Linked DNA regions of Sus scrofa. The protein of the gene in region 1 purifies or fractionates together with the protein of each later gene. This does not show direct contact. Links are inferred from orthologs where the notes say so. Each region holds a gene or a part of one and is shown in the gene's direction. Other genes may lie near its edges.

What was found. Proteins that work in one complex are often made in the same cells at the same time.
Region 2: the proteins of LZTR1 (region 1) and RIT1 purify together in Homo sapiens (affinity purification with mass spectrometry; 3 studies listed by BioGRID and IntAct, counting the BioPlex papers as one, with this or other methods). This does not show direct contact. The link is inferred for Sus scrofa from reciprocal best matches to the Homo sapiens genes LZTR1 and RIT1.

Annotation. Positions count from the first base shown.
Region 1 is NC_010456.5:50,574,880-50,578,623, forward strand, and holds the start of LZTR1 (leucine-zipper-like transcriptional regulator 1), read left to right. Parts: upstream 1-1,533; 5' UTR 1,534-1,828; coding exon 1,829-2,463; intron 2,464-2,896; coding exon 2,897-2,959; intron 2,960-3,744. Other genes in the region: AIFM3 (apoptosis-inducing factor 3), read left to right, coding at 113-217, 1,048-1,087. UniProt on the Homo sapiens protein: Substrate-specific adapter of a BCR (BTB-CUL3-RBX1) E3 ubiquitin-protein ligase complex that mediates ubiquitination of Ras (K-Ras/KRAS, N-Ras/NRAS and H-Ras/HRAS).
Region 2 is NC_010446.5:94,116,145-94,119,888, forward strand, and holds the start of RIT1 (GTP-binding protein Rit1), read left to right. Parts: upstream 1-1,576; 5' UTR 1,577-1,714; intron 1,715-2,144; exon of another isoform or gene 2,145-2,148; 5' UTR 2,149-2,190; coding exon 2,191-2,293; intron 2,294-2,455; coding exon 2,456-2,512; intron 2,513-3,744.

The DNA of each region.
Region 1 (3,744 bases):
ATTCCTGCCGCCCTGAGTGAGAGCCTCGCTGGGCCTCAGGTGGACTCAGGTCTCCAAGGACAGGGGCTGCCACTGGGCTGTCCTCAGGCTTGGCTACTACCTCTCCCTGCAGAGGCGACGAAGTGATCTCCGTGGCCAGCATGAACTACGATCCCATCGTGTCTAAGGTGGCTGAGGTGCTGGCCTCTGGCCGCAGCATCCGGAAACGGGAGGTGGAGTGAGTGTGGGCTCTGGGGATCTTGGGGAAAGGGGAAAAAGTCCCCTGAGGTGCTGGCTCAAGCTCCCTCCACAGCCCTCGAGGGTCCTCCCCCTCTCCACTTGGCCACCTCAGTCTCAATCAGTCTCAGGCTCCCAGAACGATGGCCTGGTGTGGGGCAAGGCTTATGGTTTGGGAGTGGGCTGGTTATTTGTGCTCTTGGGGGATAGAAGGGAAAGAGGCCGTGTCCAAGGGCAAAGCCAGTGCTGTGTGGATGGGTCAAGACTCACTGCTTGGGCAGTCACTGGGGCCGGGACACCCCATTGAACATGGCTGAACTCAATTATAGGGCAGCAGGATGTGGCTTGTGTTGCTTCTGGGGCACCCTGCACAGAGGTGGGGGATGGTTGTTCAGGGTCTGTCCAGTGAGCCACTGGACACCAGTCATTACTCTCATCTGGGCATGGTGCCAATGGGAGTCACCCTGTGGACTCCACCCGCCTATAGAGAACCCCCAGGACTGAGGAAGCCCTGGAGGCCATGAGATGGGGTCAGGGGAGGAGGCTCAGGCTGGAAACATGGAGAACCAAGTGGGGACATGGTGAATGACATGATGTCTCCCCAGCCTTCTCTGTCTTTCCCTCTTGCCTTCGCAAAGACTGTTTCTGCTGCACAGCAAGTACGTACATCCCCTCTTCCCTCTGAGCCTTCCCCACCTGCCCAAGTACACACCCCTGCTGGGTGCCAGGGCCTTGCACAGCCCTCTTCTGTCTTCAAGGTCCAGCTGCTCACGGTGCCCCGTGGGGAGCCTGCTCCCTCCTGCTCTCACTCCTCCTCCCTCATTCCTGCAGGACCGGCGACATGTCCTGGCTCACAGGGAAAGGATCCTGAACTTGCATGCAGCGGACTCGGGCAGGCATGCTGGGGTCCCAGGGACAGAGGCCAAGCCAGGGGGGCAAGTGCCAACCTCCAGTTCCCCAGGATCCTCCAGGGCAGAACCTGAGCCCTCCCAGTGTTTGGCTTCAGCTGCCTGGTTCCCCTCCAGAGAGGCCCCAGTGGCCTCCAGGAGAAGCTCACCACCCAAGGCATCCAGTGGCATTGATAGGCCTGCCCTCCTATCCCTCTACTGGGACTGGTTCCCTGTAGGACCCTGTGACATGTTAGACAGTATCTTAACATTAAAACACACACATTTGCAGATCTGTGTGACTTCCACTGTAATTGGGCAAACTCCCCCAAGGGAGAAAGCAGATGATGGGGAGACAGGCATGACCAGAGACCACAGAACACCCAGTGTTTCACCAAGGAATTTTGGCCCAGAGGAGATAGCAACTGATTCTGCCCCATGTCTTGGATCTGGATTTTGAAGAAATGGCACTCCAAGCAGAGGGAAAGCACATGCATAAAGCCCGAGACAGGGAATGCTTCTTCAGAGGACAGTGGGAACTCGCGCTTAGCAGTTGGGGGTGTTTGCCCATTAAGGTTCGAGCAATGAGTCCGGAGACGGACCCAGCCTGAGCTTCCTGAATGCCCATTTCGTAGGTGAAGCAGCTGAAGCTCTGCCAGAGTAGGACCGAGAATCCAGAGCCTCTGTGCACGCAGTCTCCCAGCCAAAAAGAACGCCATGGGGAGATGCGGGGGCCGGGCCAGGGACAGAGCAAGAAGGGGATGGTGGGGCGGCCCGCGGAGGCCACTGCGAGCCCGGAACCCTCCGTCCGGGATCCCGGGCGCGGCGGACGATCGAAACCGAGCCATGCGCACAGGGCATGCTGGGAGCCGCGCCGGGGAAGTGCGGGCCGGGAGGGGTTGTGGCCAGGGCGCCGCGCTCGCTGGAGGGGGAACCGCACGCCCGACCTCCGCGGGAAGCTCTTCCCGGAAGTCTATGCGCTCGCCGCACAATCCGGCCTGCCAAGCCACTGGGTCGGTGAGGCTCTCCCGGAAAAGCGGGCGGCCGGCAGTGCGGCGACGTCGGCCCAAGGCTCGCCGGGAAATGTAGTCTCTCGAAGCAGCCCGGGGCGGTGGCCTCACGTCCAGCGGACCCGGTGGCCCATCGGGCGTGGACCCGGCATGGCTGGGCCCGGTGGCTCGGGGGCCCCGATCGGGGCCGGGGCCCTGGCCGGTGGAGCTCGGTCCAAAGTGGCCCCGAGTGTGGACTTTGACCACAGCTGCTCGGACAGTGTCGAGTACCTGACGCTCAACTTCGGGCCCTTTGAGACAGTGCATCGTTGGCGGCGCCTCCCGCCCTGCGACGAGTTCGTGGGGGCCCGGTAGGCGGGGCGCGGGGGTCCTGGGGGGTGTCTGAGGAGGTCCCAGGCAGGCCCCTGGGCCAGGCTGGGCTGTGGTTTCCTGGGGCGAGACCTGGTGTGTGTTGGGTGAGGTGGGTCCAGGTCCGTGTCCAGGGCAAGGGAGGGGCTCCCGAGGGAGTCTCCGAGTGGGGTGGCCCAGGGCAGAGTATTAGAGTTACATTGTGTCTGTGGGTCTCCAGATGGGGTTCCAGGTGCTCTGCAGTGGGTTGGGAGTGTCAGGAGTCCCCACATGCAGAGTCCTTTAGAATACTGCTGGAATATTGGGGTCTCCATCGATCTTGGCAGTTGAGAGGTGTCATCTGAATTCTTTGGCAGCCCCAGTGCCGAGTCTCATTCTTTGGGTGACCCCTCAGGAGGGTCCTGGCCTCACCACCACCTCCCTCTCTCTTTCCAGGCGCAGCAAACACACAGTGGTGGCCTATAAAGATGCCATCTATGTATTTGGTGGAGACAACGGGTGAGTGAATCTGGATTGGGGAGGGAGAAGCAGGGTAGCTCGCACTGGGCCTCTGCAGCTTCACTGCTGTCTTTCCAGATGTTAGCTAAGCCCTTAGCATCCCAATCCATGCGGTTCCTCAGCACAGCCTCTGTGTGGTAGCACACACCCAGTACACAGATATGTCCCTCTCGCTCTCAGTGAGTGGACATCAGCTTGAAAGAAACACCTTACCTGTAACTTCTCTCTGGGCCACGAGCTCACATGGCAGTTGAGGTTTGGAGGATACAGATTTGTTTATTCCTGCCATTTTCACTTTTGTAAGGGTTTCTCCATGTTGCTGTAAATTCTGGAAATAACTTTCCTGGAAGTATATCTCAGCCCATGAACAGTTCCCAGCAGTAACAAACCCAGTTAGTATCCATGAGGTTGCAGGTTCGATCCCTGGCCTTGTGCAGTGGGTTAAGGATCCGGCATTGCTGGAGTTCCTGTCATGGCTCAGTGGTTAACAAATCTGACTAAGAACCATGAGGTTGCGCGTTCAATCCCTGGCCTACTCAGTGGGCTAAGGATCCAGCGTTGCTGTGAGCTGTGGTGTAGGTCGCAGATGCGGCTCAGATCCCGCGTTGCTGTGGCTGTGGCTGTGGCTGGCGGTTGCAGCTCTGATTAGACTCCCTAGCCTGGGAACCTCTATATGCCAGGGGAGTGGCCCTAGAAAAGGCAAAAAGCCAAAAAAAAGGATCCGGCATTGTTGTGAGCTGTGGTGTAGGTCACAGATGGTGCTCGGATTCCACATTGGTGTGGCT
Region 2 (3,744 bases), on another chromosome or scaffold:
TGGATCCTGGGGAATTGAAGGTTTTCTTTATTTCTTTGGGATGATCCAAAGCTGGCACCTTCAGGCACTCTCGTCTCAGAGAGCCATTGCTGTTTTTATTGCCCGTCTAAGCTCCTTGTCTTCAAGTGGGTCAGAGAAAACTGCTTGATCAAAAGCTGGTCAGAACTCATCACAGAAATGAAACCCAGTGGTCTGTCTCTCTCAGAACTGGTTGCAGCGAAAATAGAGAGATTTGACTGCTCGCAATAGAATGGTGGACTTAGTGACTGAGATTGCGACTTGTCCTTTTTCTTGGCATTACAGGTTTTGCCAAAAGAACTTTTTTTGTATCAAATATTGATGTGTGAAAGTGAAGGAGCTAGTCTGCTGAACCAGGAGTAGTTTGAGATATTGAACTATCATTTTTGCACATTTGAATACTTTGCAGGCTGGCTTTGTATAAATGTATCCTCTGGTTTCCTATATGTTGTAAATATTTAGAACATAATTTCATTATAAATAAATGTATAAATATTCTGCTTGTGGTTTCTCTGTTCTTTCTTCCACAACGTATCCATGCACTAAAATTCATAAACTTTTTTGCTCACAGCATACTATAACCCCCATCAGAAAAATACATACCTGGACCCAAGAGTTTGCATTTAGTTCCAAGTTGTTGTTTTTTGTTTTTTTAATTTTTTTCTTTTAGTTCCAAGTGTTTTATGACTTTTCAAAGTAAACCCTGCAAAGTCCAAGTGAAATGTAAAGGATTGTTATGGTGGATGTTTTTCCTTTTCATTTTCTTGCCCTCCTTTATTGAATGTGGTTAAAAGGACTGAGTGAAAGTATTCTTTTTCTTTTTTTGGCTTTTTAGGGCTGCACCCATTGCATATGGAAGTTTCCAGGCTAGGGGGTGAATCGGAGCTGTAGTTGCCGGCCTACACCACAGCCACAGCAGTGCCGAATCTGAGCCACAGTTCGCGGCAACTCTGGATCCTTAACCCACTGAGCAAAGTCAAGGATCGAACCTGTGTCCTTATGGGTGCTAGTTGGGTTCATTCCCACTGAGCCACCACGGGAACTCCAGGAAATATAAGTATTCTTGGAAAAACATGCTTAGAAAGGAAGAAGGATGGGCAGAAGTTGCAACAGAAAATTTTGCCCATATAAAGTTCCTTCTAGTACTTCTATGTGTTACCCACCTAAATACAGGTGAACAGAATTGATAGTGTCTTAATTTATTGCTGTAAAGTCAAAGCCAGGTGCTTTTTTTTGTTACTAAGCAATAACACCTTGGTCCTGTTTGGGGGGGGGGTTGGCAGGTGCCCATTTCCTCATTACATTTGGCCAAATTTGTTTTTCTCATAAATGGTCCTGGGCAAGTTGTTATTGTAGAAGTCTCCAGTGTGCCCCTTATCACATCCTCCTTGCTTGACTTTGGTGTAAATAGTTTTGTGGCAGAGGGGGGCGCTGAGTGTGGCACTCCCCCAGGGCCTTCAGCGATGAGCGGGGTTTGAGGACCTGGCAGGAGATGGTCCTCCCCGGAGGAGGCGGGGCCAGTCCCCTGCGTCACGAGGGCGGCCCCGCCCCTCCTGCTGAGACGCGGGCGCTGCTGGCGCCATCTTCCCCAGCTGCGGGAGGGGTCACAGGTCAGTGCCAGATCCTCGCCGCGAATGAGGAGGACCGAGGACGAAGTGGGTGATCAGACCCGGCAGTGGCCTTAACCTTCCGACGGGTACGAGCAGCGGAGGGGTTGGCTTGTGAGGCGGAAGGGTGGGGGGCTTGATGGCGGCGCGAGGTGCTGCCGGGGGAGGAGAGCAGCCTCCGAGGGGAATGGAGAGGGGGCTGAACCTCCGGGTACCGCGGGCTTGAGAGGAAACCCTGAGGCCTAAGTCCCAAACTGCACTTTCTCACTGGGCTCCCTCCTGCTGTGCCGGCGTCCCAGTCTGCAAAGAAATGCCAAATTTCTTTGTCTCTTTTTATTCTTTTTTGAAAAAAAGTAGTAATTCAGAAAATCTATGATATGTCATGGGTCTGAGCTGCCCTGGAGGGAAGGTGAGGCTACGTGTTGCCTGAGGGTCGCCAGAAAGGGAGCAGGGGTAGGGCACTGGCTCTAGGACTGTCGTCACGGGGTCTCCATCCTGGATTAAATATTTTCTTTCTTTCCAGGTGCCTTTTCCTCCGGGCAGCCCAGGATTCTCCAAGAGGACAATGGATTCTGGAACTCGCCCAGTTGGTAGCTGTAACAGCCCTGCAGGGCTGTCACGGGAATACAAACTAGTGATGCTAGGTGCTGGCGGTGTAGGGAAAAGCGGTAGGTGACATTTTCCATTTTAAAGAAGTAAGAATGAAAAATGCTCACAACAGATGCCCTCCCCGAAAACCAAGTAGGAGACTGTCCTGCAATATTGATACTTGCAGTTCTTTCTGTTGGTCATCTTTGTATTTATTTTAACTTTCGCTTCTTGTTTTAAAGCCATGACCATGCAGTTCATCAGCCACCGATTTCCAGAAGATCATGACCCCACCATTGGTAAGTCAGACTGTCACTTAGGTTTTTCCACTAAACCCCATAAAAAGGCCTTGGTGTCAGTTTTTGAAACAGTTTTAGACCATTTATATTTTGAGCCTTTTGGGTGTCTGGTTTAGATTTACTTAACAAGAATAACATGGCAGTTGATAAGCAAATGACTTTTTTTTCTTAGCTTAACTTTATATGTACATAAGCCATCTTAGTCTGTTTTTTATTAAATATTACTGGGACACTTTGTTTTATTTTTATGGTTGCTCTACTGTATCGTCAGATTAAAGGAAAAGTTTAAAGGCCACTTAACAGAAGGCTTTTGCTATCATTTCTTTAAGGGTCTGATTTGAGACTAACTCTGTAACTATGAGTCAGCTGGTCTGAACTTCCACAAAAGGAAGCAGAAAAACAAGTAGAGCCAGCCTGCTGAACTCTTACAACCCAGACATGCAGAGCCTGGACTTGTTCCACTAGAAGCCCTTCATTTACTTCCTTATACCTCAAGTTCATTACACAGCAAGGTCTTTCTTCACGTCTTCTATAATCTTAATGCTCTATTGTTAGTAAACCACTGTTAGTAAGTAAAAACTAATTTTCTTGTGCCCTTTTTTTTTTTCTTTTTTTAGCTGCTATTCGCCATAGACCTTAGGAATGTTACTGTCATTCCTGGACCATAAGGAAGCAGATTTGATTTTAAGGGGTTATTTCCCAGTGAAGAAGAAAAATGGTGATGGGGGTAGAGGAGGGCACAGAAGTTCTGCCATATCACTTGTATTTTCAGGATGTGACACTTTTGTTGTGATCCTGAGTCTCTAGGAAGGATTTCCCATTGGGTCAGGACTCTACTGCTCTTTTTCATAAAGCCAATAATTTTTCTGTGCCAACCTACCTTTGGTTGTTACCATTTTATATAGTAGATGCTTCTGTGGCTTGGGGAAAAATAGAAACAGTTCTTATTTTTCATGTACTATGTTAAATTTAGAACATTGTTCAGGAATTCACACTACAGTGGGAATTTTAGGAATAAAATTAATTTAGGGCTTAAGATAATTTACTTAGAACTCCAGAATATCTTTTCCTTTCTTTAAAGTAAAACTCATATACTTGTCCCCTAAAAGACTTTTTTTTTTTTGGTCTCTTTAGGGCTACACCCTTGGCATATGGAAGTTCCCAGGCTAGGGGTTGAATTCGAGCTGCAGCTGCTGGCCTGTGTCACGGCAACGCCAGATCTGAGCCTCATC